2 linked regions of the Mus musculus genome follow. The protein of the gene in region 1 interacts with the protein of each later gene in a biochemical or structural test. Links are inferred from orthologs where the notes say so. Each region holds a gene or a part of one and is shown on either strand. Other genes may lie near its edges.

Region 1 (4,289 bases):
AGTAAGTGTGTCACTGTGGGTGTGGGCTTTAAGATCCTCATCCTAGCTGTCCAGAAGCCAGTATTCTACTAGCAGCCTTCAGATGAAGATCTAGAACTCTCTGCTCCTCCTGCACCATGTCTGCCTGGATGCCAGTGTGTTCCTCCTGGATGATAATGGACTGAACCTCTGAACTTGTAAGCCAGCCCAACTAAACGTTGACCTTATAAGAGTTGCCTTGGTCATGGTGTCTGTTCACAGCAGTAAAACCCTAACTAAGACATACTGCTCCAGCACCCGCTTGCATGTTGCCACGTGGTGATCATGGACTTCCCCCTGAAACTGTAAGCAAGCCTCAGTTAAATGCTTTCCTTTATAAGTTGTATTGGCCATGGTGTGTCCTCACAGGAACAGTGCAGTGACAGGGTACTCAGGTATACTCCTCCATGTGCCTGCCAAGGAGCAGTAGAGCTCAGTCCTATGGTGGTTCTGTTTTCAACCTTTCGAGGGTCTGTTCCACTGATTTCCTTAGAGGTTAGACTAGTTTGTGTCCCCAGCAACAGACGCAATTGTTTTCTCTACATCCTGAGCCGAATTTGTAGAAATAACCCTCAGTCCTTCCAAGATCACTGTTTCATTCAGCTGGCTCCGTTCCTCACTAGGTGAGGCCCTCAGCCTGCCTTCCTTTGCCTGCCCTCTGTTCACAGGTCTATTGGCCACCTCAGAGAAACAAGTGCCCCTTCATGGGCCCTCCTACTACTCTGAAGGACTCTTCTTCATATTTCCTCAAACCCCGCAGGGTCCTTGTCCCTCTATACAGTAATGCTGAAGTCTCTACTCCAGCCACTCCTGAGTCTGGCAAGCCGGCAGAACATTTGTTTATGAACCACATTTCCACACAGACAGCCAGTCCGTGTGCCAGCACCTTTCCCTCTCCATACTCATAAAATAAAATTTGCTTCCTCTTAGGCCTGTTCTGATCCCTGCCCTAGTCCACATCAGTGTGTAGGAGCCCTCTTTCTTTCCAGTGGTTCCTTATAGATGAGCTTGGCACCCCAGTTTCTTCTCTGCTTACACTACCATGTCCAGTAGACCCAGAGACTATTGTGTGCCCCCACCCTCTGGAGCAATTAGCTGTGCCATCTTCCTCCCTCCACCTTGGACCATATCTCCTACAGAATAGGAAATAAGCTTTAACCTCTGTAGTAGCTGCAGCTACAGTGCCTAGCTGCTGTTGTGTGAGACACACAGCCCAGACTGACCTTGGACACCTGATCCTTCAGCCTCCACCTCCCAAGTGCTAAGATTACAGACCTGCACTACTAACCCCAGCAAACACTGGCATGGAAGAATTTCTTAGCACAGCTGGCTGTGCCCAGCATGTTCATGGCACTTTCATTTGTTAATTTCCCCCTATTACTGCTAACTTGACCTCGTGGCAATTTACTCCCATGCTCTGGAGTCTCACATCACAGGATTTCAAGAGAGTCAGTCCCTTTTCCACCAACAGTGTAATGTTGGGCAAGAAAACCACCAAGTGGCCAGACACGCCCCTAATCCCATTACCCTGGAGGCAGAGGTGGGTAGACGTCAGTGTTTCCTTGAGTTCAAAGCCAGCCTGTTTACTTATCCAGTTCCAGCCCAACCAGTGCTCCATAGTGAGACTAAGAAAAGCCACTCGTGCCTCAGTTTCCTAGGTGCGAAAAGGGGATAGTAATGGCACCTGCTTTTTACAACGGATGATCAGAACCTGGCTTGGGGCAGACAGAAACGACTCCAGAGATTTACCGGCTAGATTAAGAGCACTGCTGAGAAATTGAGTACAGTGACTCAGGCCTATAATCCCAGCACTGAAGGGGTTAAGGCAGGAGGATTTTTCCGAAGTTCAAAGCCCCAGTCAGCTATAGTGTGAAATGGTCTCTGACACACCCATCACTCCTTTAATCCAAGCACTTGGAAGGCAGAGGTAGGCAGATTTCTAAGTTCGAGGCCAGCCTGGTCTACAGAATGAGTTCCAGGACAGCCAGAGCTACACAGAGAAACCCTGTCTCGAAACACCCCCCCCCCCCCAAAAAAAAAGAAAGAGCTGTAGTGTTTTCCTGAGCTGGCCACCAAGAAAACAACCATGAGCTTTCCACAAGCTCATCCTTAGACGCCAGAGTTCTCACTGTGTCAAGTCTCCCAGATGCCTCCCGCAGCAGCCTAATTAAAATGCAACTTCTCGGCACCTACGCCTCACTCAGAAAGTCAGAGACCGGAAAAGACTCAGAAAGTCGAGCTCCCGCAAGCGGGGAGGGGGTGGGGGGAGGGGGGGCAGCCAGGGTCAGCGTGGCCAACCTGTAGGTCGCCCTCCCGCAGGACCACCGATGCATAGAAACGGGTTTTGCAGGTTCTCCTTCGGATCTAGTCACCCCGGTGATCCTCGAGCCACTACGGGGACCCTGGCTGGATCCCCACGCGCGCGCGTACTCACCGCAGCCCACTTCCTAGGCTCTGAACGCCAGCAATGACCTCTGATCTCCGGGGGTGGCACCCTCGCCTGGCCTGTGGGGTGTGGCTGGGTGGCGCGATACCTTTAAATCGTCCCCAGCTAGGCCTTAGCCACTGCCCCCACCCTGCCCGGCTCAGGGCTGCTCAGACCTGCGGTGCTTTCCTCCAGGGCTCCGGGGAACTCCAGGGTGAAAACCAGACGCACTTCCTCCTCACCCTTGGTGGCCACCCTGGCTGGGGATTTCCGTGGCTCTTCTGTGCGTGACTTCCTGGACCCAGCTCCTCTTCGTGTCATTTACTGAAAGTTTTTACTTGAAGGCTCTTGGCTCTTACAAAACATTGAAAACAGATGTGCAGCCTGTGAGTTCCGCCTTAAGAGGCCTATCCCCACCCCACCCTCACCGCGCTTCCCTCCTGCAGCCTCCAAGTCCTTCACTGTAAAAAAAGAGCCACAACTGTCCGGAATATAACTGCTAAGTTAAAAAAGTAAGACGTTAGGAGGAAAAAAACCCGAGTAACTCTGTAAAAGTCTCTGGTTTCACTTTTTGTTTTTATCAAGAAAGAGAGCTGAAAGGAACATTTGTTAAAAACAAACAAACAAACAAAACAAAACACGTATGGATCTCAATTTCAGGTTATTTTTATTATTTCAAAGATCAGAACTACAGCTGCGGGTAGCAGCAAATGCCTTTAATCCCAGCACTCAGAAGGCCGAGGCAGGAGGATCTCTGTGAGTTCCAGGCCAGCCTGGGCTACATAGTAAGACTTTGTTTTTTAAAAATGCTAGAACCACACTGATTCTTGTATTTGAAAGGTGTGATTGTGGGCCGGAGACGTGGCTAAGCAATTAAAAGTACTTGCTGCTCTGGTAGAGGACCAAGGTTCTGCTCCCAGCATTCACAAGATGGCTCACAGACATCTGTAACTCCAGTTCCAGGAGATCCATTGCGGCCTTCTGGCCTCTTCAGGCACTGCACCTGTATTCGCACAGGCGTGAGGCAAAACACCTGTACACATATTTAATATATAAATACGTTTTAAAAAATATTTTGAAAGGGTTAGAGAGATGGCTCAGCAGTTAAGAGCACTGACTGCTCTTCCAAAGGCCTGAGTTCAAATCCCAGCAACCACATGGCTTACAACCCTCTGTAATAAAATCTGACTCCCTCTGCTGGTGTGTCTGAAGATAGCTACAGTGCACTTACATATAATAATAAATCTTTAAAAATATGTTTTTTTAAAAGTCTGGGGTTTTTGTTTTGTTTTGTTTTTTTTGTCCTGATCTGTTTTAGTGGTTTTTTTTTTCTTGTATTTTTGTTTAGTTTTTCCTTGTCAAATTTTGTTTTATAAACAGGATGAATAAATCTAGAAAAACAAAATTCCTTCTTTTAGCTTTTTCTCTTTCAAGGGAAGGTGCTTAGCTATATCAATGTTCTTGTAAAAACTTGACTCTTGCCAGGCAGTGGTGATGCATGCCTTTAATCCCAGCACTCAGGAGGCAGAGGTAGATGGATATTTGTGAGTTCTAGGCTAGCCTGATCTACAGAGTGAGTTCCAGGACAGCCAGGCTACACAGAGAAACTTTGTCTGCTTTCCTCCATCTTCAGCCAATTAGCATCAGACTTAAGGAGACATAATCTAGCGGTGAGAAACCTGCCCTGGTCAATCTAGAGATAAAATGCCTTATTGTGGGCTCAGCTGAGAGGGACCACAGTTCCAACAGGAGCTCTAGTAGAAGAACTTCGTTTGTGATCATATAGAGATTTCCACCTACTTTCAAGCCTCTATCTGAGAGCAGAATCACACCTGTGAGAGCAACA
Region 2 (4,085 bases), on another chromosome or scaffold:
CCTGGACACACAGGAGAGACGTCCCTTCAATTGTAGACATCTTGAGTGGCTGTAGTGGGCTCATCTCAGCTCCTCTCTGAGACCTGCGCCAAAATTACAACAGCGAACAATGTGGGAAGATGCCAGCAGCAGTGACCATACCACCTGAGCTGGGCGTCACAGGACTCCAAGGCCACACAGTGGTTTCCTGGTAACCAGGGCACAGATTAATGACCAGGCTCAGTCTACAGGCGGCCCAAGGCCTGAGCACACCTGAAGGTTGTAGCAGGGAGAGGAGACTAAGCACCAAGTTTAACGAAGGTCCTGCTTCCACTCTCACCACTGCAGTCTCCTGATGCCTTGGGGCTCAAGTCAGAGCTCACCATTCATCATTCTCTTCAAGGCATTCATTCATTCATCAACCAAACACTCAATGCTGCTCATAGCAGGCATCTGTTCCATGGCTCCCCCTTGCACTTAGTAAAGCCCAAAGTCTTCTCTCTCCATCTCATTACTAAGGTCCTTTGTTACGGGAGGGGCACAAGTGGAGGGCGGCGGGCAACTGTGGAAGCCGTTCTTTCCTCCAACCATGTGGAGATCAAGCTCAGGTCCCAAGGCTCGCCAAGGGCCTTTTGTCTGCTGGGCCACCTTACTGCCCCATGGCCTTTAATCTCATCTTTCAACACAAGTGTCCCCACCGCACCGATGGTACTTTCCCACGGCCACAGGCCTTGCTCTTCCCACCACTGGTCTCAGTTCCAGGGTTGGCCCTGAGAGAAGCCTGCCCCCTCCTCATCAGACTCGCTCATCACAGCACACAATTTTCTTCAGAGCACTTCCTGCTTTTTGGAGTCACTTTATTTCCATCCTGAATGGCCTTCTGTCTGGTTTGAATGAAACCTAAAGACAGTGCTCTGTCTACCTTGTCTGCTACTAGTAACAGGACACAAGAGGCCCCAGGAACCATCTGTGGACTAGACAGGCGCTGAGGAACGCCTGTTTCTGGGTTCCCTAAAGCCTTCCTATGCTATCTAAGCTGTGCTATGTGCGCTTCCTTCTTTTCATGGAGCTAGGGATGGAATCCAGGGCCTCCGACTTGCTGGTCAGATCACTCTAGCACTGAGCCTCACCCAGCCCAAACTCTTCTGGATTCTGTACACAGCAGCTGCTGCTGAGCTGCTGTTTCTATCTGCACTCCTGAGGCACGGGCAGGGCCTCAGAAGTTAGAAGTGGCTGTCAAACCGGATCCTGAGATGTCCTAAAGCAAGGACAAGCAGTGCTGACTGGTAGGGCCACCCCAGTACTGGCTGCCTGGCACCTCTCTGCGAGATACCCTGCATCCCACCCCAGTACAGCCTGTGGCAGACTGGGTCTTCCCAAGTGCCCACCGCCATGTGTTTGTCAGGAAATGGACTGACTTGGCTCCGCAGTCTTCTCCAGGACACACCAGGCACTGTGTGGTGGGTCACTGCAGGCAGCACCTCTCTGCTTCCCACCCCACAACATCTCCTCTGGTGGCCTCACAGCCCCAAAACACCAGTGCCTAGGCTGGTGGCCTGTCCTTACCCCTTGCTCACCTCCACCAACAGACTCCCGAGGATATAGCCCCACACCAGAAGGGAGCACCCACTCTCTCCTGAATCCTTCATTGGAAAAGCAGACTCCCATGCCTTCCCAGACCCCGGGGGATCTCCTTCACCAAACCCACTCCACCTTCTCTAGCCTGCCAGAGTCCATGGCTCATAATCAAGTACAGGTTGCCGGTTCTAAGGCAGCAGACCCTTCGGGTCTCCCCATCTGGCCTTCTCTTCTTAGCCCATCAGAGACCGACAAGAGCTTCTCCCCTAAGAGCATCCCCTTTACCCTCTTGCTATCCCTTCCATTTGATCCAAGGGCTCTCATTTCACTGCTCCTCTCCTACCCATCCAGATAATGGAGAGTTTCTGAGTTGAACCCACATATTTTCCCCCAATTCGCAGAAGGATTAGGAGTGACAGGCACTTCCTCCATCCGCTCCCCGCAGGAAGAGGTTTTTCTTCTCTAAAAGCAGCATCTGCGGGACTGCACCCCATCCCATTCTCCCCACTGCAGGAGCCTTCCCAATGGCGACACGCCCCAACAGACCCCACCCCACCCCCCGACACACACACCAGGGCTTCCTAGGCACCTGCTCGTGCCCATCCAACGCGGCGCTCGGCTCCCAGCGCGCCTTCTGAAACCTATCCCTGGTCTCTGCAACCCAGGCCTGCTCCCACGGCAGAACGCCCGGGCTCAGCCCGTGCAGGTGCCCGGATTTCCCTGGGAAGCGACCACCACGATGAGAGCAGCCCCGACCCTAAATTGACGCGGGGCCCCGGCGGCCTCGCCTGCGGCCCGCGAGGCTCCGTGCGTGTTCCCTAGGGTTGCGCCCGCGTACCCCCGCCGGGCATTCCCGGCTCCCAGTCGCCCGGGCCAGCTCCCAGCGGGACCTCGCCCGGGCATTCCCGAGCACACTCGGCCCCTCTGCCGGCCTCTCCCCCACCCCCCGCCCCCCGGAGGCGCCCGAGCCTCCGGCTTGGCCGCACCGCCCACGGCCCGGCTGCCCCCGCCCGGGCTTCCGGCCGCCGCCTGATGGTCCCAGGCCCGGCCGAGCAGCCAAACGCAGCCGCAGGGACAGCGCGGAGCCCTGTCCCGGCCACCATGGCCTCCGCTAGACCGGGACCAAGCCCAGGGAGCCCGCGCCCCGTCCGCCAGCACGCCCGGCGCCCCCGCTCACCCGAGCCTGTGGTGGCTGCCATCTTGCGTCGCTGTCGCTCGAAGGCCGGCCCCTTCTTCACCCCCCCTTGAGTTTTTCTCCGGGCGCTAGTGCGCAGGCGCAGGTGTAGGCGCAGCCGCAAACGGTGCCGCTGACGCCCGCTCGGGGTCGCAGGAGCCGGGCGGGAAGGGCTTTGCCCGAGTCTTCAGTGAGCGAGCATGAGGGCGGGGCAACCTGCAAGCCCCGCCCAGCCCGAGCGCGGGGGAGGCGTGCAGGTGCTCGGCTCGAGGGCCCCGGGGTGACCGTGCGCTTCCGGGAGAATAGAATGGGGGGGAAGGGCTGTGGAGCCCCGCGCCTGTTCCCAGGCTGTTTCCGTCCCCCTGTGTCCTCACCACGTAGCGAAAATGAAACCGCGAGAGATGAAGTTCAACTCAACTGCTAAGTAGCTGAGTCAGAATTTGACCCCAAGCCAGATGATCTTTGTTATGGGGTATATGGAGAAAAATAACACCGAAAGGCCTGAATGCGTCAAATTGTGGGCCAGTACAATCTTGTTTCCGGCACTGTTGCTGTTCTGGGGCCTGAAGCATGTAGGGACAAGGTGCAGCTAGGGGCTTGAGAACCACCAACCTTGAGACATGCATTCTGCTTGTTTGTTTGTTTGTTTGTTTGTTTAGGGGTTTTGTTCGAGACATGCTCTCAACTCAGCTGTCCAAGAGCCCACTATACAGAGGATGACCTTGGCTGTCTGATTCTTCGGCTTCTGCCTCATGCTGGGGTTGCAGGCTTGTGTTTTAGAGTTCTTCTTAGAGATGGAATTATGTGGGAGAACTGTGCTTGGTGCCGGACATGGCAATGTCTCCACGAAATGAGATTCTCTTCTCAATTGCTACATTCTAGTTGGACAGAGAACAAGTAAGCCAATATAAATAGATAAATATACATTTTACCTATGATAAGATAGGGGACAAACCTATAAAGGGCACCAGGAAGAATCAGAAAAGGCCTCCTGCAAAGGTCTGAAGACACTTGTCTGCATATAGAGTAAACCCATCACAAAGCCACCTTTGATGTGAAACCCTTAAGGGGACTTGGAAATCGAGGATGAAGTAGCCAGATAGGCTGCAGATTATACTGCTAAGAGGGACAGCAGAGGGGCAAGGAAGCTGGAGACATTCCTGGAACATTCCATTTGTCATCTGTTTGGTGTATTCTAGGTAGCTCCACTGCATTTCCTCTTGAGGAAGTACGTGGTAAGCTCAGAACTACCGTCCTGCAGAAGATGCACACCAGCCTAGGAGTCTGTCCCACAGAACAGAGGGAACCAGGTCTCTAGGTAAACTGGGAAGGGTGAGTGCACAATACACTGAGG

What was found.
Region 2: the proteins of Birc3 (region 1) and Ube2v1 form a complex in vitro, tested with the Homo sapiens proteins (2 studies listed by BioGRID). The link is inferred for Mus musculus from reciprocal best matches to the Homo sapiens genes BIRC3 and UBE2V1.

What each region holds. Positions count from the first base shown.
Region 1 is NC_000075.6:7,870,371-7,874,659, forward strand, and holds the start of Birc3 (baculoviral IAP repeat-containing protein 3), read right to left. Parts: upstream 2,801-4,289; 5' UTR 2,765-2,800; coding exon of another isoform or gene 2,620-2,764; 5' UTR 2,453-2,619; exon of another isoform or gene 2,317-2,452; intron 1-2,316. UniProt on the Homo sapiens protein: Multi-functional protein which regulates not only caspases and apoptosis, but also modulates inflammatory signaling and immunity, mitogenic kinase signaling and cell proliferation, as well as cell invasion and metastasis.
Region 2 is NC_000068.7:167,629,206-167,633,290, forward strand, and holds the start of Ube2v1 (ubiquitin-conjugating enzyme E2 variant 1), read right to left. Parts: upstream 2,801-4,085; 5' UTR 2,757-2,800; coding exon 2,735-2,756; intron 84-2,734; exon of another isoform or gene 65-83; coding exon of another isoform or gene 1-64. UniProt on the Homo sapiens protein: Has no ubiquitin ligase activity on its own. The UBE2V1-UBE2N heterodimer catalyzes the synthesis of non-canonical poly-ubiquitin chains that are linked through Lys-63.